3 linked regions of the Arabidopsis thaliana genome follow. The protein of the gene in region 1 interacts with the protein of each later gene in a biochemical or structural test. Each region holds a gene or a part of one and is shown in the gene's direction. Other genes may lie near its edges. The genes, in order: NRT1.1, CIPK23 and CPK6.

Region 1 (7,595 bases):
TATTATTGAACAAGTTGTCATTCCTGTGTTTGGTCAACTATGGCCTTTGGGATACTCAGAAGGATTCCATACCCAATTATTTAATTCGATACCCTTCTTCTACATGATTCAATCAATCCTTTTAAAAAATTGAATCTGTATTTTTTTTCTTCCTTCGTCACCTGCTGGAATATTAATATCATATAATTAGTAATAAATCATTAAGTTTTGTCAATGTTACACATTTAGACCCTACAACTTTATTTAATTTTATCTATCAAGCTAACAAAATAAGGTACTAACCAGTTAATGAAATTAAAATTGAGGATATACATATAGTTTAGTAAAAAACTTTGATCGATACCTTATCTGAATTGAAACTATTCTGATCTATCCTAACAATATTAAAAATGGTTTACATGCGCTATCATCATTTTTTCTACTAAAGGATTTAACGCTTATTGTAAAGGCCTTTTTTTTTTTTTTACTCTGATGGTTTGTCAGAAGATTATTCGTTAATGAATTATACGTTTGTTATAAACTGTAAATCTTCATTTTGAATGTAAAACTCAAAAATTAAAATTGAAGCAAAAGGTAGTTTCCTTGTTCGTGCTAACTGCTAATGTCGATTAAGATTCATCCTCTTGAAATGACCGAGTCAACGCTGAGGGAGAATCTCACGTGGTCCTACCAACTATCACGTGCCAAAAATCTGGGCCCTGAGATATACCTATAAGCAAAAGCCAGCTCCGCCCAAAACATTTGATCCATCCATTTTCATTTTTATTTTCCAATTTTGAAGTTAGGGTTTATTTTTATAAGTTTCCATTAATTTATTTTCTTATTCCTTTTCGGAGGATGTGTTTATTAATTTAATTTCAATAGAAGATAATATATTTGGGTTCACCACTCGTTCTCTTTTTCTTTTTGGATGGGACTCTTCATTGTGACTTTTTTGTTCTCGCTCTTCCACAATCTTTGGATGTGTACAAAATAATCGATTGTTGGGGATATTATAGTAAATTTAGCAATATGAAACTAGCAACGAAGAAAGTGTTTATTGATGGGTTCAAAATTTCATCGATCTGCATATCAATAACTCGGAAAGAGATGGATCATGACACATAGTATACAATAAATTTTATAAATTTCGAAAATTAACTAATTGAGGATAGAAATTCATCAATTACTTAATAAATAAATAAAAAACTGATTCAAATGTATGTTTTACTTCTGTAACATACAATTTCTTGCTTTTCTTGAAAATTGACTCGTTTTTTATATTGGATATTTTACATAGACTTTGAGACTTATTAATAAAACTAACTAACCATCTCTTACAAATTGTTGGAATAAATTATTTTTATTTTTCTGTTGGCTCTATAAAATGAAAATGACCTTTGTTCTTCTTCTTTATACTCCTATATATGTTTTCTCCAGAGAGAAAGAGAACCATTGAAGTTGCGAGACTTCCAATTATATATATAGTTCATGAAAGTCCTGTGACCATGCTCTTTATTTATTTTATTTCACTATACGTTAAATAAATGGAAAGTAGGGTAATAATCATATTGCAGCATGATTCATTTTAGTGGCGTCTAAGAAGCATTCATTTTGAGCCATTAAATCTCAAGGTAGACTTTCCCATTAACACAAAAGAAGAAAAAATTGGTACGTAATCATACCAACATCTACAAATCTTTGGTTTCAATTTTGTAACAAAGACCTAGATTGTTGACAAACAAAAAGCAAATACCTAAAAGGACTTTTATTGACTTCTATAAAGATGTTTTGATTGAAATTTCATATAATTTAATAGTTTCCTCAAACTATATGCAATAAAATTATAATTTGATAATTACATGTGAAAGAAAACATGACTCTCAAATTAATATGAGTCGATTATCAATAAATTTTTGTGATATGGCTGTGCTGCAGAACAACTGAATGGGCCTAGAAGTAAAGTTGATATTGAGCAAACAAAAAACGAAATAGATTTTTTTTTTCTTTTGGGCAAACTCAAAAAACGAAATAGATATGCCTCGACAATACTACAAAATCTCAAATGAACAATATTGATGAAAATGCGTTTGTAACACAGAAATCAATTATTTTGAATTATTTTCCATATATAGTACAGACGTAAAAAACATACTGTATTATCTTTCATGGAAGTAAAATAATTTTCCAAGAAATAGAACAAATGTAAAACAGGTGGTGGCTAAAACTGGTGCTTTTAATGGCTAATGCCATTGAATCACTGACAAAATGACCGATGACTTCAACTTAAAAGTTCAAGCCCACAGTTCCAAAGGTAGAGGAAGTGGTAAAATTTAGGTATGGTCTCTTTCTCTCTCTCTCAATTTTCTCTTTCTACAAATATATACTACAGTTACAGTAGTAGTTATTATTATTAATTATTCTCTCCCCAATCAAACAACACTCATCAGAGTCACACATGTGTCACTTTTTTCTTCAATATTTTAGTTTTATGAATAAAAAATCAAAATAAAACAATAAAAACTTTTTTAACTTGGCTAGTTTCCCAGTATAAATAGATGTATCAACGAACACATTTAAGACCACAAAAGAAACCAAGAGCTCTCAAACAAAACAGCCTTTTACATAAGAACAAACACCCCCAAAAACTGCAAAAAAAAGAGAGAGATCATTAATCCATCTTCAAGATGTCTCTTCCTGAAACTAAATCTGATGATATCCTTCTTGATGCTTGGGACTTCCAAGGCCGTCCCGCCGATCGCTCAAAAACCGGCGGCTGGGCCAGCGCCGCCATGATTCTTTGTAAGTATAATCACATAATAAAAGTTCTAGAGAAAAGCTACCAACAATATACATGCTGAAGACAAGAATTGAAACTTTTTAATGGCATTTACTAAGTTATAAGTTTCTTATGGCTATCATTCTTATTCTTTTATGTATTCTCGATGTATCCAACTTTATCATTAACAAAATTTTATTGTGTGAAGGTATTGAGGCCGTGGAGAGGCTGACGACGTTAGGTATCGGAGTTAATCTGGTGACGTATTTGACGGGAACTATGCATTTAGGCAATGCAACTGCGGCTAACACCGTTACCAATTTCCTCGGAACTTCTTTCATGCTCTGTCTCCTCGGTGGCTTCATCGCCGATACCTTTCTCGGCAGGTTTGTCTATAAATATATTTATATTTACTTAACTAAAATCATTCAGATTCTTTTTAAAATATTAATTTGAGTTCATTCATTTTGTTTTGTATAGGTACCTAACGATTGCTATATTCGCCGCAATCCAAGCCACGGTAAGGACCTCAAAAGTCCCTTTCTCCTTACCAAAACTTATACCCAAGAAAACGAAGAAAATAAAAATATTGTCTAGTCAATAAACAAATCGAAATAGTAAACAGCATAAGTCGTTATTTTTGTTATAGTTTTCCGAAAAATAATATCCGTGTTATGAACTATGATGCTATCAGGGTGTTTCAATCTTAACTCTATCAACAATCATACCGGGACTTCGACCACCAAGATGCAATCCAACAACGTCGTCTCACTGCGAACAAGCAAGTGGAATACAACTGACGGTCCTATACTTAGCCTTATACCTCACCGCTCTAGGAACGGGAGGCGTGAAGGCTAGTGTCTCGGGTTTCGGGTCGGACCAATTCGATGAGACCGAACCAAAAGAACGATCGAAAATGACATATTTCTTCAACCGTTTCTTCTTTTGTATCAACGTTGGCTCTCTTTTAGCTGTGACGGTCCTTGTCTACGTACAAGACGATGTTGGACGCAAATGGGGCTATGGAATTTGCGCGTTTGCGATCGTGCTTGCACTCAGCGTTTTCTTGGCCGGAACAAACCGCTACCGTTTCAAGAAGTTGATCGGTAGCCCGATGACGCAGGTTGCTGCGGTTATCGTGGCGGCGTGGAGGAATAGGAAGCTCGAGCTGCCGGCAGATCCGTCCTATCTCTACGATGTGGATGATATTATTGCGGCGGAAGGTTCGATGAAGGGTAAACAAAAGCTGCCACACACTGAACAATTCCGGTACGATTCTTTTAATTAACTCATCATTTGCTTTCCACGTACGATCCTCAAAACTTACAATGATTTAAATTTTAAGATAAAAGTTTTAAAATTTTTCTTTTTCTTTTCCATTTAAGGGTTAATTGAAATAATTGAGGTACTGGTTCCCTTAATTAAATGTGATAGTATCAGTAGACTTTAAAAATGTGAAATTAAAAGTGGGGTTGTGTGGGTGAGAAATAACTCGAAATGCTCGTGTCCTTTAATTATAGTGGGACCGTAAATATTTCTCATTATATGCCTACTTGGCATTAGAAATCATTTTTTTTTGACAGCCATTATAAATTAATTAAAAGGTGTTGAATATCTTTCTTTGTCTTTTGTTACGGGGAAAATAAATTATTTTCATAATATTATTACTCGACCATACAGCGAAACTGGTCCAGGATACGAATTATACAGCTAATTACAACATTTTTGGATTTTTGGGTTCAAAGTCCCTACTTTGGCATTTTATATTGTATATTTTTTCCTTAAAATCCTATGTGTGTGTGCATGTGTATATCTTTGTTAGATAACACGTTAAGTTCGGTTCATAGAATAGGTAGGAAAATAAAAGTAGTCTCTCGGAATTAGTCGGAAAGATAAAGTAATTCAGATAAACAAATGAATAAGTATATGCAAGTGATATCAAGTGGGGTAAAATTCTCCATCTTTACTTTTTGCCTATAAAAAATTTCACACCCACTCGTAGAATATTTGGTTTTTACAGAAAGAGTATCTTCATCATTGCGGAAAATTAAATACACCAATTTGCTATTTTATCTTTATTATAGTATTATAATTATGATTATGATTCTAATGCCTTATAACTTTAAATACACATACACTGACACACATATATCTATATTTATATTCCCCTGACTCGTGAGTTTTCCCCCTTTAAGTACGGTATCTTTTATTTTTGCTAACTTAAGTACAGTATCTTTTATCCATCAATCCCTATGCATACCTACATAGAAATAAAAGAATCCAAAGGAATCAATTTTTCTTTATACCAGATAATTTATGGAAAATCTATTTAGCATCTCTAGATATTGGAATCCCTTTCTCGGAAATAAAACTAATAAAGAAGAAGAGACGAGAAGTTAGGGTAGGGAGGCAGGTGTTTTGTCTGTAGTGAAAACGATCAAATATCGTGTCGTAGCACCTCCACTACTTTACACCTTCACCGGGACAGACCCAAAGTTAGGCATAATTAAGAACCCTAGCGTCACATGCACGACACGTGCTTTGCGTGCTCGGTGCTTCATTAAATTTCTCTTTCGTTTGGGTCTCTCTAAAAGGTAGTTGAAAACTAAAGAAAAAACCTTTTACACTTTTCCATAAATTCAAACTCTTAACTTTTTTTTGCCTACACTATTTTAAAAGCAATTACGTATTTGTCATGCATGTGTGTGAAGGATATATCATCTTGAAAAGATTCCACGTAACTATCTCCACAACATGTTGATTCAAATATTCAATGCGTAAGCTATATTCCAAAAAAAGAAACAATGTATTATTGATATGAAATTTCAATAAATAGGGACACTTCATAATTTTCTAAGAAACACACAAAAGATCTTTGGTTTGAAAAATCAGATACTTATCTTTAATCCAATATATGTAAAATATTTTATCTCCATTTTACATAATTTACTATTATATTCTAATTATTCCTTATATCATTTTTGATGCCACAGTTCATTAGATAAGGCAGCAATAAGGGATCAGGAAGCGGGAGTTACCTCGAATGTATTCAACAAGTGGACACTCTCAACACTAACAGATGTTGAGGAAGTGAAACAAATCGTGCGAATGTTACCAATTTGGGCAACATGCATCCTCTTCTGGACCGTCCACGCTCAATTAACGACATTATCAGTCGCACAATCCGAGACATTGGACCGTTCCATCGGGAGCTTCGAGATCCCTCCAGCATCGATGGCAGTCTTCTACGTCGGTGGCCTCCTCCTAACCACCGCCGTCTATGACCGCGTCGCCATTCGTCTATGCAAAAAGCTATTCAACTACCCCCATGGTCTAAGACCGCTTCAACGGATCGGTTTGGGGCTTTTCTTCGGATCAATGGCTATGGCTGTGGCTGCTTTGGTCGAGCTCAAACGTCTTAGAACTGCACACGCTCATGGTCCAACAGTCAAAACGCTTCCTCTAGGGTTTTATCTACTCATCCCACAATATCTTATTGTCGGTATCGGCGAAGCGTTAATCTACACAGGACAGTTAGATTTCTTCTTGAGAGAGTGCCCTAAAGGTATGAAAGGGATGAGCACGGGTCTATTGTTGAGCACATTGGCATTAGGCTTTTTCTTCAGCTCGGTTCTCGTGACAATCGTCGAGAAATTCACCGGGAAAGCTCATCCATGGATTGCCGATGATCTCAACAAGGGCCGTCTTTACAATTTCTACTGGCTTGTGGCCGTACTTGTTGCCTTGAACTTCCTCATTTTCCTAGTTTTCTCCAAGTGGTACGTTTACAAGGAAAAAAGACTAGCTGAGGTGGGGATTGAGTTGGATGATGAGCCGAGTATTCCAATGGGTCATTGATCATGAATTCATGATCATGATCATGATGATGAACATTATGCATGTCTATGTTGATATGTTTGAATTTGATTTTGAGTTTTGTTTGTATATTTTATGATGCTTTTCTTAATTACCTCTTGTTTCCGAGTCGACAAATAATGGACCGACCGATAAGGGATAAAAGTTAAAGTTTTCCCATCAGGTTCTGTATAAAAGCAGAAATTGTAACATTTCTTAAGATTTGACGCAATTAACGTCTTTTTGTCTTCAATTTCCATTTTTCATTTTTTCCCAGTAAATTATCATACCATTCAACGTTTGTTTTCTCACTTGTTTTGGTATCGTTTGTTTTCGAATATGTGAATAATTTGGACCAGAACTAGGCGTCTAGGCCACTAGCTAGTGCCTAGTGGACTATCACACCTTTCTTTTGTAATATTGGTAAACAAAAAAAGTTGTCTTTAAAACTATAATTGAATTATGACCGAGCTCTGTGAATTTACTGGCTCAATTGTCTCTCGATGACTACTGGTCAAGTGATTAATTTGAATTATCAAGGAGCTGCATGATTAAGTCCAAAACATATATAATCATGATGAATACAAATTAAATATGACAAATGATGAATATTACTTTTATTTGTTTACACTTGTTACTTTTATTTTTTGGATATATACTTTTATATCTTTCAACTATGTAGCTAATTGGATAAAGAATCATCAGTCTAAAGTCTAAACTGATCAACAATCCAGTTTTTTTTTTCAATTATTTTTCAATCAGATAAATACCAATTATTAGCTATAATTTCGATGAATTACTATCGAATTGTTTATAGGGAATTTAATGAAAAAAACCCTCAATTTTGGCCAGATCCATTTTTAAACCCTGAACTATGTTTTTAGTAAAACAAACCCTGAACTAAAACCTGTTAATAAACTTAACCCTACAGTAATTAAATATTAATGGGATATTAATTTCCAAAAATCGACCAAAGAACAAT
Region 2 (7,030 bases), 6.5 Mb from region 1:
AATCCAAAATTGAAATCAAAATTGAGGCCAAATTAAACAAACTTTCAATTTGTACTTCCCTTAAAATAATAAAGGGATATTAGTTATCATCCGAGAAACCTGGCGAGTATATGTTCTCACTGAAATATATGTTTTAATCACAAGAGAAACATCAACCAAGTTTATACTATGTCTGAAATAAATGTAGTCATATATGACAAATATACAGATAATACAACGTTATTTTACGTTATTTTTTTTTTCTTTTACCGTTAAAGTTCAAAATTTAATTACTAATGATGAACTTTTAAATATATTTACGTATAAAATAATCAAACATAGATTTAAAATAATTGTGACTATATGTCTCAAGTACAGTTAACTCGACCGATTAAAAAGATTATTATTGTTTGATTCTTATTAGAATTGAATTTTGGTGTTATGTTCTTTTTGTTAAAGGGTTTAGTTTTGGTATTATTAGGTTAGAAAGAGATATTGTACGCTTTGTAAAATCATTTTAATTAAGCAAATAATAATGTCTTGGTTGCCTCCAACAGACACTCGAACATGATTGTTTCTGTTAACTTCCGTTAATTTAGTTTTCTGATCACAAACACGAACTCGTGGGTCGGTTTATTTTTATTTCCGAGGTCAAATATTATAATGACTGACCGGGAATATACTTTCTTGATAAGAAAGTCATTATTTACACATTAGGGTTTTTAAGAGATTAAATATAATTTTCAATCTAAAGCATCTGCAATGATCATCAACTGAAGAAAATTATGATGAAAAGATTTGAGAATTTACATTCAACGACTAAACGAGTATGAATATATATGAATCAGATAACTTTTATTTTTAAAAATATGCATCATGATGGTCATGGCCTCATGGGCTATCAATTGTAAAGTCAAACCCTTTCAAGAAAACGTGGCAAGGTCATGTGTATGTACATTTGCCCACCAATGATTTGGTTCTATTGTTTTATGCTAATACGATGATTATTAGATAACATTCTCTTTGATGAGCACCATAAAAATCAGAAACTAGGTTTAAACTATTTTGGGTTGAAAAAACAAGTATAACTAGTTAGGTTGATAACTGTATACTGTATTTATAATAGAGCATTATTTCTTATAGAAACACAAACACATATATAATCTAGACAGAAGATTCTAAACATTTGATCGAACCATCGAAAATTTAATGTTTAATGGTTTGTATCATTAAGTGCCCCTTTTGTGAAACATTTAGTATTGAAAAGGGCACGTAGCTCCTTGATACTGGTAACGGCTTTTCCATAACATCAAAAGTTCAATTGGACGTTTCAAATCTAATCAATAGTATTTATTAGAGTAAATAAAAGATCCTCTTACGTTTTATAAATCTTATAAGTACACATGTTTGGAATCTCGGAGTATAAAAAGATACTTGGATAAGTGATGGCAGCTAATTGGATAAGTGGTGGACTTAGTTCAATATTTTTATTAAAAGTTTGCATATATATATATATATATATATATATATATATTTTAATAATTAATATTAATTAGAATTTAATTGAGCAATTTCGAGAATATTATTTAAGTTAGGTAAGAATTTTTTTGTACTAATTTATCTGTTTTTATTTTTACGAGAAATTAAAGATAAAGAAAAATTTATAAATTCTTTACTGTCGTTCTTTAACTCTTTTGAAATCGTTGATTATTCGGTTGGAGAAAATATCATATTTTTTATTTTCTTTTTCGAAATTTTGTTTTAAAAAATTATGACAGCTAATTACACGGCATGTAAAAAAGTAAAATATTTACTTTTATTTATATTTGATAAAAAAGGATGACATAATTTTCTGTAATCACCATAAGTCCATAACGTTTGCATTTAAATTATCAAAGACTAAGATAAGCCTAGAATAATTTAAAATGTAAACTATAGTATACGTCAGAACCTACAGATACAACCTTCCTCGTATAATCCCTAAACAGAATTTTAATTAAACATTTCCTTAACTAATTTACTTCTTAATTTAACTTTTAAATTCCTTCCACCATCGAATCACAATCTCTCTCTCTCTCGCTTGCTGTTACTCGCTTTTTCCCAGAACCGGCTTCGATTTTTCTAAAGCAGCCGAAATTTACGATTCCCAGAATTTTCCCTACTGACAAAATTTCACTTCAAATACAAATCTCGTCTTCATGAGTCTTCTTCTTCGTCCAAATTGAATTTTCTCCGCACACGAGAGTTGAATTTTGATTTTCGGCTGTTTATATGGTCTCCGGTCCCTTAGGGTTTTAATTCTTCTGCAGATCTCTCACGATGAGCGTTGCGAAATCCCAAGTATGGCAGCCATGCAAGAAGAAGAGGTCCTCCTCCTGATTCAATAGAGATCTATCTATATATATATAAGAGACCGAGATATATATATAGAGAGAGAGATGGCTTCTCGAACAACGCCTTCACGATCGACTCCTTCACGATCAACGCCTTCTGGTAGTTCTTCTGGTGGTAGGACACGAGTTGGTAAGTATGAGCTTGGACGAACTTTGGGTGAAGGAACTTTCGCTAAGGTCAAATTCGCTAGAAATGTTGAGAATGGTGATAATGTCGCTATTAAGGTTATTGATAAAGAGAAAGTTCTGAAAAATAAGATGATCGCTCAGGTATGTATTATACAATTCTCCAGCTGCTGTGTTCTTATTGGGAATCTGATTTACGCAGTTGTGATATAACCTTTGATTTTGGATTTTGTAGATCAAGCGTGAGATTTCGACGATGAAATTGATCAAGCACCCGAATGTCATTCGTATGTTTGAGGTTTGATTCTGATACTATAAAGCTGAATTCAAAGTTGTGTTGCACGTTTTGGTTGTTGTTGTTGTTCTATAGATTTGTGCTATAAGCTGAGATTCGTTTGAAGTTATGGAACATATTTGTGGTCCCTGGCTAATCATATGTATGTAATATAAGGGATTTGATTATTCTATGTATTTTTTTGGTATCTTTGTAGTTACAGATTCTCTTCTTCTTCTTCTTCTTCTTCTTCTTCTTCTTCTTCTTCTTCTTCTTCTTCTTCTTCTTCTTCTTCTTCTTCTTCTTCTTCTTCTTCTTCAGGTGATGGCTAGCAAAACTAAGATCTACTTCGTTTTGGAATTCGTCACTGGTGGGGAGCTTTTCGATAAAATTGTAAGATTTCATTGAAAGATGTGTTTTTTTTTTCTTAATACTATGTGGAAATGAGATCTTAATTCTTTAGAATTGTCATGTATTAGTCAAGCAATGGGAGATTGAAGGAAGATGAGGCGAGGAAGTATTTCCAACAGCTGATTAATGCGGTTGATTATTGTCATAGCAGGGGAGTTTATCATAGAGACCTTAAGGTTAGGAATCTTACTTTGTGATCCTCTTGCATAGGGTTTCTTGTGAATCAATTGGCATCAGAATAAAAGTTTGATGTGTTTGAATCATGTTGCACATTCTGGTTGCAGCCAGAAAATTTGCTTTTGGATGCTAATGGTGCTTTGAAAGTGTCTGACTTTGGATTGAGCGCTCTACCTCAGCAAGTTCGAGTGAGCATCGAGATATTGATTTCTTTTTCTATCATTTCATTGTAAATATCATAGTTCGATAATTCAGCTACTATGGCTTCTAAGGAGAAAGATTTCCATGATTTATTCAAAAGCTGATTTTGTGACCCTTTTTCTTTAGGAGGATGGGTTACTTCACACAACCTGTGGAACACCCAATTATGTTGCTCCGGAGGTATTAGCAACTGCTACTGAAAACTGACACACAATTTTCTCAAAACTTGAATTCTATTATTTTCTAGTCTCAGTAACCTTCTATATTTTCTCCCTAGGTAATCAACAACAAAGGTTATGATGGAGCGAAGGCTGATTTGTGGTCTTGTGGAGTAATTCTCTTTGTTTTAATGGCTGGTTATTTACCTTTTGAAGATTCTAACCTGACGTCGTTATATAAAAAGGTATTACGCTTGCCTCTTCTTCTTTTGCTTTTCTTTTGATACATATCATTTTACATGCTATCAGAAAGGCTTCAAGGTCTAGGTGCATTTGGGTGGCTGTATAAAAGCCTCTGTCATTTTTGTATGAGACGTATATAGCATAAAAGCCACCTGATTTTCTTTCTTCATAATTACAGATATTCAAAGCAGAATTTACTTGCCCTCCCTGGTTCTCTGCAAGTGCTAAGAAGTTAATCAAAAGAATTCTGGATCCCAATCCAGCAACGGTATATTTTTCTTACCCTATTATATAATTTATATTAGAGGATCTCTCCTTTGAAGAGGCAAAAGCTTCTATAGGATTGAGTAGATCTGAAGGCTTACACTGATTTTTTATATTGGGCAGAGGATTACATTTGCTGAGGTCATTGAAAATGAGTGGTTTAAAAAAGGGTATAAAGCACCTAAATTTGAGAATGCTGATGTCAGCCTTGATGATGTTGATGCAATCTTTGATGACTCAGGGGTAAGGCTAGTGTTCTTTTGTTTGTTTTTTTCGGTACTTTGTCCGGGATGATTGCTCAGTTGTTTTTGTTTGTTAATAGGAGTCTAAGAATCTTGTTGTGGAGAGGCGAGAAGAAGGACTCAAAACACCAGTAACGATGAATGCTTTTGAGCTCATCTCGACATCCCAGGGTCTCAATCTCGGTTCACTTTTCGAAAAACAAATGGTACAGAAGTCTGATACGTAAAGCTGGTCTTTAAATTTCGTCCCCCAAGGCTCTTATTTTGTTGACAATTTTTAACTATCTTTTTGCGGTTTTGGTCAAACCTAATAAGAAGTAGCTTTGCCACAAAATTTTAGTGACCAATACTTTTCTTTGGAAGCCCGTACTTAGTTTGATAGAAGTCGTCATTCTGATTGATAAGCTTCTCTGATTTCAGGGGCTGGTGAAACGAAAAACTCGATTTACTTCCAAATCTTCGGCTAATGAGATAGTTACAAAAATTGAGGCTGCGGCAGCACCTATGGGGTTTGATGTCAAGACAAATAACTACAAGGTTAGAATACTGTTACGTATTTACCCAATGCTGTGGAGTTGTGTATTGGTTTGTTGCTTCTGAATAGACCCTTTAACCATTTCTCAACTCCTTCAGATGAAGCTGACAGGAGAGAAATCAGGCCGCAAGGGTCAGTTGGCAGTTGCCACTGAGGTTAGCTTTCACAATGACCAGTGATCACCCTTTGTATGGTTGGCTGAACCTAATTTAAGTTAATTGACATCTACCTTCAGGTTTTTCAAGTTGCTCCATCTCTTTACATGGTTGAAATGCGAAAATCAGGGGGTGACACATTGGAATTCCACAAGGTATGCAAGGGTTATTAATGCTGATCAGGTTGTATCAAACCCGAGCTTGTCAAATGGTCTTCCAGTAACTGATGTTTGAATCTTTACCTTTTTGCATCCTTTCTTGCTCTTCTTTTAGTTTTACAAGAACCTTACCACGGGACTTAAGGACATTGTTTGGAAAACCATCGACGAAGAGAAAGAGGAAGGAACCGATGGTGGTAAGTATCTGCCTTGAATACTCTGTTTTTTAGATAAAGCTCCTAGAAAAGGAGAAACTAACGAAACATGTAAACACAAATCCTGTTTTGTTTCTTCATGTTTCAGGTGGTACTAATGGTGCCATGGCTAACCGGACAATTGCAAAACAGTCGACATAAGCTGTTTACTTTTTTCTAATATAGATTTTGTTCGTTATAAATTACTATAGTAGTACGGAGTGGTTTTGAAGTTAATACAAAAGGAAGCGTCAAGAAGTGGAGCAGAAGCAGTTTGAAACTATATTGGGGAATGGGGATTATTGATATTTTAATCATGTTTGATTCCATGGAATGTTGTGAATAGCATATGCGTGTTGCGAGGTTCTTGGCTTGAATCGATTAACCGGAAAGTAAAAGCTTTACAGATTTGGTTTTGCAATTTCTATATTGTCGGACGCTGAGATTCGATAGATATTTCAGTTCAAATGTACTGAAAACAAACTAACACTTGTGTGTGAACCAAATCGAAATTTATTTTCATAATTTTAAAACCTGAAAAAGGAAAGCGGACTGAAAACCAATATCAGTGTAGACAAAACAAACTGAATATATAGCATGACTTGAAGTTAGTGAGATTTTAAAACCAAAATCAAGGAAAGAAAAATATCAATAAAGATTATGTCGGACCAAATACTATAACAAAAATTTAGAGATGGAAAACTTGGTGGCCAAGTTACTCTGTATTAATAATTGAGGGCGAAGAAGATGTGAACAAGAACACCAATTCTTCAATTAGGGGTTTTGTTATTCTTCTGTATTACTCTCTTGTTTATTGCTAAGAAACAGGTAAGGCTGTAGCTAAGAGTGTGGAGGAGGAGGAGGTTGGTCTTCATAATTTGGAAACAACTAATGTGGATGTGGATGAGGAGTTTGTTCCTCACAGTTTGGATGAAGCTAAGGCTGTTGTGGATGTTGTAGATGTGGAGGAGGAGGTTGGTCCTGTTGGTTTAGAAACAGCTAAGGCTGTTGTGGATGTGGAGAAAGAGTTTGGTCCTCGTGGTTAGTGGCGGAGGCAAAGTTTTTCTTCATGGGGGTCATTTTATATATATATATAAAGTATAAATTGTTTCAAAATAAAACTAAATAGTCTATTTTTTAATTGAAATATATATATATATATAGTTTTAGAAATGTTTCACTTTTCAATTAGAATATGCATGTTCTTCATTTTTTTTTGGTTTTCAGTTGTATTAAGTATTTTTTATCCTCAAAATATTGTTTTTCTATCAAAATGTTTAGTATAATGTGGAGATTGATTAGTTGTTGTGTTTACCTTGATCTATGATTTTTTAATTAAAGAGATCGAATGAATATGAAAGATGTTACAGATTTTTAGCCAACAAAAATGAAAAATCAAAACTAAAGTTGTGGAAAATGAATATGTATGGGGTCAAATACAGAAATTGATCACATGACATGGGGGTCATTCTATAAACTTAACCCAAAATATCTACTAATTAATATATAAACTTACCTTA
Region 3 (6,373 bases), on another chromosome or scaffold:
GTTGAGCTTTGCAGGGAAACTATGGTACATAAGTTGTTAAGGAGTTTGTTAGTATAGATGAGTGAAGATCACATTGTTAAAGATTGTTTTTATGGATGCAGGGTGATCATCCTTGTGACAGGCGAAGAAGCGTCACTGAGTACAAGGCTCTCTTTCCCGCTATTGATTTCTCAATTGTAAGAAAAACATCTTATATGGTTAATATATATCTCTGTGGAAATGTTGGCAAGTTGCTTATGCTTTGACCTCTATGGTTTTAGATTGAAACCGACAATGATGTTCTGTGGAAGCCGAGTCCAAGAGAGAGCCTTGAAGAAGTTGCAGCCAGAGGTGTAGAGTTCATCAAATGGTGAGTTTCATTTTTGTTACTTATTTCCACATGGAGATATATGTAAACATATGTATAGCTGAATCTCTCTACTGCCATTTGCTTTGTGAAGGATATGGACAAGGAAAGAGAAGGAGATCGCAATTGTATCTCACAGTGGCTTCTTGCACGGTCTCTTGAGTTCTTTCGGGAAGGATTGTTGCGATGACCTAAAGAAAGAGTTGTCTATACAGTAAGAGCTTAAACAAAAACTTGATGTCTACAAGCACCAACAATTTGTATAACTTGAAACTGTTTAACTAATCAACATCTTTAACTTTGTTCAGTTTGAGCAACTGTGAGCTTCGCTCAATGGTTATCGTGGATCGAGGGTAAGCAATAATTACAATAAGTTTTGACAGAATATAAATATAATTTGAGAGTGTGTTGGATTATTTATTATGGTGTTGGGTGTGTAGGAACCTGGGGACTGACTCTGCAGAGACCACAAACTATCCTGGGAAGGTTCCTGAAGGACTTGATAATCCTAGTGGCTAAATGGCTGAAGAGTAAGAGAGAGAATTCTGAGATAGTTTTTCTTTCTAAAATAAATAAATTACATGATGTTTCCATTGGACTAGAATCTGGCATTTTCAGTTATTTGATGAACATTAGTGTTGGTATGTAGCCATGTAGGTTGACTCTGCTGCTACATGAATTTATTGTATGATTGTTATTATCCAAAATTTAGCGGTAGCTTTAATATTTCTGCTCCAATTCTCATTTTAGCTGTGATTATACAATTGTGGAAATAATAGCATTACAAGTAGAGGAACTGGTAGATGCAACTAAATTATAAGTGTGAATCTTAGATGAGTAGATTTATCTCTATCAACATGAGAACCAGCAGAAACTTAAAACATTATTTATGTAAGATCAACTTCATATTTTATGGCAGCTGTGTTGAATTTTCTTATGGCCAAGCATTTTAATAAAACAAAGAGAAAATTCCAAAAATTACACTCAGCTTTTCTTATAGTACTAGGTTTTATCTTTTGGTGTTGAGATTTTTTATGAAAATAGAAAATGTTTTAAGTGTTTTTATAGAAGTAGATCAAAGTTTAATGCTCTTCGTACGTTCTATGTATTTGGACTTTAATATAATCGATAATCGTATTCAGATTCTTTATAGAAATTACGCTCTCTCCAAACTATTGGAGAAAGCTTTTACCATTAGGAATTCGAAATTTTTTGTTCCCCAATTTTGAACATATGATAAGATCTTTTAAAGAACACTCGACAATGTAAAATTTAAAGTAGGTCTAGCTTCTTATCCGTTTAAGAGAACGATTTTTTTTTTTAAATGATATGATTCACGGTTTGTAAAGTTATCTATTGGAAAATAAAAAAACTGTAAGTACAATACTGTGATGTCAAAAAGAAAAAAAAAGTACACCCAAACTAAATTTGTACCACGTGCGAGACAAATTGTAGTCTGCGATCTTACTCACTACCCGACAATGACATGCCCCATGCCTTAGTTCTTGTAAGAAAAAAGTGATATCCTATATACTTCACTAATTATTGGTAAAATTATGCAAAACTTTCAGTGCTAAAAGTTTGATTTATACTGTACTAGTTGTTATTTCAACGTAGACATACCAAAATGTTTATTCAAGAAAGCCTATATACTAGCAAAAGTAAAAAAGAATGTGACATCTTTGATGAACCAATGTGAAAAGTCAACATAATAAAACTTGAGTTTTCAGAACAAATTTAGTTGTCCATTGTTTCGATCTGTTAATCAAGACCATAAATTAACTCTTAACTATATGCATCTAATAATAATATTTTGTAGTTAGCTAAGTTAAGCACATCCAACTCTTAAAAAAAGCTAGTATAACGTTAGGCTTATAATCATTCTCTTAATAATAAGTTATCCTAAACAAATTATTGCAATTTTTTATTCTCCCTACTTGCACTAAGTATCATTACACCAGTAAAAGATGATGATCCCTTAAATTAATACTAATTAAACAAGCAATTAAGGAATGAAGAAGGTGAGACGAAACCGCGTAAAAGACCTTTCTTCTTTGCACCATCCTCTCTCCTTCATCATTTCACAAATCCACAAAAGAATCAATCTTTTTAACACTCTCTAATGATTCAACGAATCCAATTACCCAACCAGAAACAGCAACACATATAGAGATATATACTATTAAACAATAACATAACAAAGAAACCATTTTTTCTCTTTTGTTATTGACTTAAACAAAAACTATCAACGAATAATTATCCTTTTTTGAGTTTTTCCCATTTCTTCTTCGTCTCCATTTCATCGTCTTCTCGCTGTTCTGCTATATTCCGGTACTAGATCCTCTGTTTTCTCATGTTTCTTTTATTACCAAATGATTTCTTCATTTATTGTTGTGTCTTTGATTCTTTTTTGGGATCTATAATGATCGATGAACATTTAAAGCTACGACTTTTCAGGAGCTCTTGTCTTTTTTTCTTTAATCTTTGATTATGTTACAAAACAATTATGTTTTTTGAAGCTTGATCTGATGTGGGTTCTTTGATTTCGTTCCAAAGTTTGATACTTTTTTGGCTTCTCTTTATCTGATTTTTTTTGTGTATGTTTGTTCATGAAACAGTTTCGTTGGATGAGGAGAAGAAGAAAGTGAAAAAAGTTGTGAAATAGAGAGAGTTTGTTTCATGGGCAATTCATGTCGTGGTTCTTTTAAGGACAAAATCTACGAGGGCAATCATAGTAGGCCCGAGGAGAATTCCAAATCCACCACCACTACTGTTTCCTCTGTTCATTCTCCTACTACAGACCAAGATTTCTCCAAACAGAACACCAATCCAGCTCTTGTGATTCCTGTTAAAGAACCCATTATGCGGCGTAACGTTGACAATCAATCTTACTATGTTCTTGGTCACAAGACTCCTAACATTCGTGATCTTTACACGTTGAGTCGTAAGTTAGGACAAGGACAATTCGGGACAACGTATTTGTGTACTGATATTGCCACAGGTGTTGACTATGCTTGTAAGTCTATATCCAAGAGGAAATTGATATCTAAAGAAGATGTTGAGGATGTTAGGAGGGAGATTCAGATTATGCATCATTTAGCTGGTCACAAGAATATTGTTACTATTAAAGGAGCTTATGAGGATCCTTTGTATGTTCACATTGTGATGGAGCTTTGTGCTGGTGGTGAGTTGTTTGATAGGATTATTCATAGAGGTCATTACAGCGAGAGGAAAGCTGCTGAGTTGACCAAGATCATTGTCGGTGTTGTTGAGGCGTGTCATTCTCTTGGTGTTATGCATAGAGATTTAAAGCCTGAGAATTTCTTGTTGGTTAATAAGGATGATGATTTCTCTCTTAAGGCCATTGATTTTGGTCTCTCTGTTTTCTTCAAACCAGGTAAGCGTTAGTTGCGAGTTTCTCATTGTTCTGAATCTATTTAAGTACCATGATGTGTTTTGTAGTATACATTACTGTGACTTTCTATTCATCAAATGAGTAAGGGAATGTAAATGTTTCAGCTTTGCATAATGTGTAGTCTTACTCTAATATCAGGCCAAATATTCAAGGATGTTGTTGGAAGTCCATACTATGTTGCTCCTGAGGTTCTTCTAAAACATTATGGTCCAGAAGCTGATGTGTGGACTGCTGGTGTTATACTCTATATCTTACTAAGTGGTGTCCCGCCTTTCTGGGCAGGTATGCGGGCGATATAGCTGTTTCAATGCGTTCTCTTAATTAGTGCCATTGACAAGGTTTCCTGAAGTTTGGTTTTGTGTTTTTGAAATCAGAAACACAGCAAGGAATATTTGATGCTGTGTTGAAGGGATATATTGACTTTGATACAGACCCGTGGCCTGTCATATCCGACAGTGCTAAAGATCTGATCCGGAAGATGTTATGCTCTAGTCCTTCTGAACGTTTGACTGCTCATGAAGTCTTGCGTACGTAATCAATTACACTTAAATAAATGGTTACATTTGGCAGCCACACAACATTAGACTATATCTCTTGTATGTATCTCTTTTTTTTTCAGGTCATCCATGGATCTGTGAGAATGGAGTTGCACCGGATAGAGCACTTGACCCGGCTGTTTTGTCTCGTCTAAAACAGTTTTCTGCAATGAATAAATTAAAGAAGATGGCTTTAAAGGTCAGTTTGTAGTTATACTCAATCTTCTATTGTCTCTGCATCACATTCGTTTGAGATATGTTTACTCATATTAGTGATTATGGAATGATCAGGTGATAGCTGAGAGCCTCTCAGAAGAAGAGATTGCGGGTTTAAGAGCAATGTTTGAGGCAATGGATACTGATAACAGCGGTGCAATCACTTTTGATGAACTCAAAGCTGGCTTGAGAAGATATGGATCAACCTTGAAAGACACCGAGATCCGAGATCTTATGGAAGCGGTAACAATGCATCCTTTTGAGATATGCACACTAGTTCATTTCGCTATATAGATGACAATAACCATACTCTCTGTGTTGTATCTTAGGCTGATGTGGACAACAGCGGTACAATAGATTACAGCGAGTTTATTGCAGCGACGATCCATCTGAATAAACTAGAGAGAGAAGAGCATCTTGTCTCTGCATTTCAGTACTTTGACAAAGATGGAAGTGGTTACATCACCATTGATGAGCTGCAACAATCTTGCATTGAACATGGGATGACCGATGTTTTTCTTGAAGACATAATCAAAGAAGTAGATCAAGACAACGTAAGCTTTGCCTCTTGACATGATTCTTCCACTCTTCACCATTGGTGTTTGCTAATAAAGTTTTGGTTTTTGTTTCTTACAGGATGGACGGATTGATTACGAAGAATTTGTTGCGATGATGCAAAAGGGAAATGCTGGTGTAGGGAGAAGAACAATGAAAAATAGTCTAAACATCAGCATGAGAGATGTGTAGGCACATACACACATCTTTAAATCGTCTATTCGGTGAGGATGCAAATGTTTCCATGGAATCAACATTTGCAATGTTTAATCACAGAGGAGGAAGAGAAACCAGATTCATAGCTGCAGCGAACCAGCTAAATCGTTGAAGGTTTGAGTTAAAAATGTTAAAAACTACTGTATGATTAAAAAATGGTGAAAGATAAAAAAAAAGTGTTAAGTTCTGTTCATCAGTAGCTGTGAGGACTATTTCTATTTTCTCTCTCTCTGTTTTGTTTGTTTGTAACAACTGTTTAAGTTTGGTTTTTATTTCATCTCCATCGTCGAAAGCTTTGACCCTTTTTGGGTTTTTGAAAGATCAAATCATCTTCCAATATAGTACAAATGTGATATACAAGTTGTGTGACAATCTTCCACCTTTTAGTTGTTGTTGCTGTTGTTAGTACACAAACGCATACTCTTCACTTTGGTTTGTTAAACTTTTTAGCTCGGCTTTGGTCGTCTTTTCTCACATGCATACTTCCAAATTGGAGTCATAGCGACAACATTAATACAACTAGTCAACTACTATGTTACAAGTTTCTGTCCACTAATTTCTTTCTCTAATTACATCTGAATCTGTAAGTACATAAACATGTATGTACATATGAACACATGAGTGTGTGTATATACACAAAAATTTATGTAATAAAAGAGCAATAATTGATGTAAAATGTGGAATACTGTATGATGATAGCTACTAAGTCTCAATCATGTAATCAAAGTGATGTCTTAGAACCAAACTTAAGGTTGTTCGAAACAATCAATCATACATTGGTCCCAATGTGGTGGATTGGAACATGACAGGGAAACCATGTGCTCCCACTTATTTATATATATGCATCGTATGTTCGTATGTATTAATGTATATACATTTCACACCACATGCAGTGAGTTATTTATGTCACCTTTTATTTAGTTTTCCGAAAAATGGTGAAATAGATTGGTCAAATTTCGTCTACAAAGTAAATTAAAAAAGATCATTAAATCAGTCGTTACGAGAAAATAAAGCACATCCTCATATATCAAAGATTAAAAATATAATAAAACTAAACAATACATGTACGCACACGTAGAAGATTAGGGT

The links.
Region 2: of the proteins of NRT1.1 (region 1) and CIPK23, one has a biochemical effect on the other in vitro, tested with the Arabidopsis thaliana proteins (one study listed by BioGRID).
Region 3: the proteins of NRT1.1 (region 1) and CPK6 form a complex in vitro, tested with the Arabidopsis thaliana proteins (one study listed by BioGRID).

Annotation. Positions count from the first base shown.
Region 1 is NC_003070.9:4,102,675-4,110,269, forward strand, and holds NRT1.1 (nitrate transporter 1.1), read left to right. Parts: upstream 1-2,548; 5' UTR 2,549-2,666; coding exon 2,667-2,781; intron 2,782-2,966; coding exon 2,967-3,144; intron 3,145-3,238; coding exon 3,239-3,278; intron 3,279-3,452; coding exon 3,453-4,027; intron 4,028-5,751; coding exon 5,752-6,616; 3' UTR 6,617-6,927; downstream 6,928-7,595. UniProt on the Arabidopsis thaliana protein: Dual affinity nitrate transporter. Involved in proton-dependent nitrate uptake and in the regulation of the nitrate transporter NRT2.1.
Region 2 is NC_003070.9:10,652,853-10,659,882, forward strand, and holds CIPK23 (CBL-interacting protein kinase 23), read left to right. Parts: upstream 1-1,947; 5' UTR 1,948-2,417; coding exon 2,418-2,642; intron 2,643-2,733; coding exon 2,734-2,796; exon of another isoform or gene 2,797-2,935; intron 2,936-3,093; coding exon 3,094-3,165; intron 3,166-3,251; coding exon 3,252-3,359; intron 3,360-3,467; coding exon 3,468-3,548; intron 3,549-3,687; coding exon 3,688-3,741; intron 3,742-3,838; coding exon 3,839-3,964; intron 3,965-4,140; coding exon 4,141-4,230; intron 4,231-4,349; coding exon 4,350-4,469; intron 4,470-4,548; coding exon 4,549-4,674; intron 4,675-4,888; coding exon 4,889-5,005; intron 5,006-5,101; coding exon 5,102-5,158; intron 5,159-5,238; coding exon 5,239-5,313; intron 5,314-5,431; coding exon 5,432-5,513; coding exon of another isoform or gene 5,514-5,530; exon of another isoform or gene 5,531-5,619; coding exon 5,620-5,672; 3' UTR 5,673-6,048; downstream 6,049-7,030. UniProt on the Arabidopsis thaliana protein: CIPK serine-threonine protein kinases interact with CBL proteins. Binding of a CBL protein to the regulatory NAF domain of CIPK protein leads to activation of the kinase in a calcium-dependent manner.
Region 3 is NC_003071.7:7,513,980-7,520,352, forward strand, and holds CPK6 (Calcium-dependent protein kinase family protein), read left to right. Parts: upstream 1-2,350; 5' UTR 2,351-2,677; exon of another isoform or gene 2,678-2,876; intron 2,877-2,964; 5' UTR 2,965-3,025; coding exon 3,026-3,743; intron 3,744-3,899; coding exon 3,900-4,043; intron 4,044-4,135; coding exon 4,136-4,288; intron 4,289-4,380; coding exon 4,381-4,496; intron 4,497-4,588; coding exon 4,589-4,756; intron 4,757-4,842; coding exon 4,843-5,067; intron 5,068-5,149; coding exon 5,150-5,260; 3' UTR 5,261-5,683; downstream 5,684-6,373. Other genes in the region: AT2G17280 (Phosphoglycerate mutase family protein), read left to right, coding at 1-24, 102-176, 261-349, 441-560, 655-699, 787-865. UniProt on the Arabidopsis thaliana protein: May play a role in signal transduction pathways that involve calcium as a second messenger. Functions in abscisic acid (ABA) regulation of guard cell S-type anion- and Ca(2+)-permeable channels and stomatal closure. Phosphorylates FD.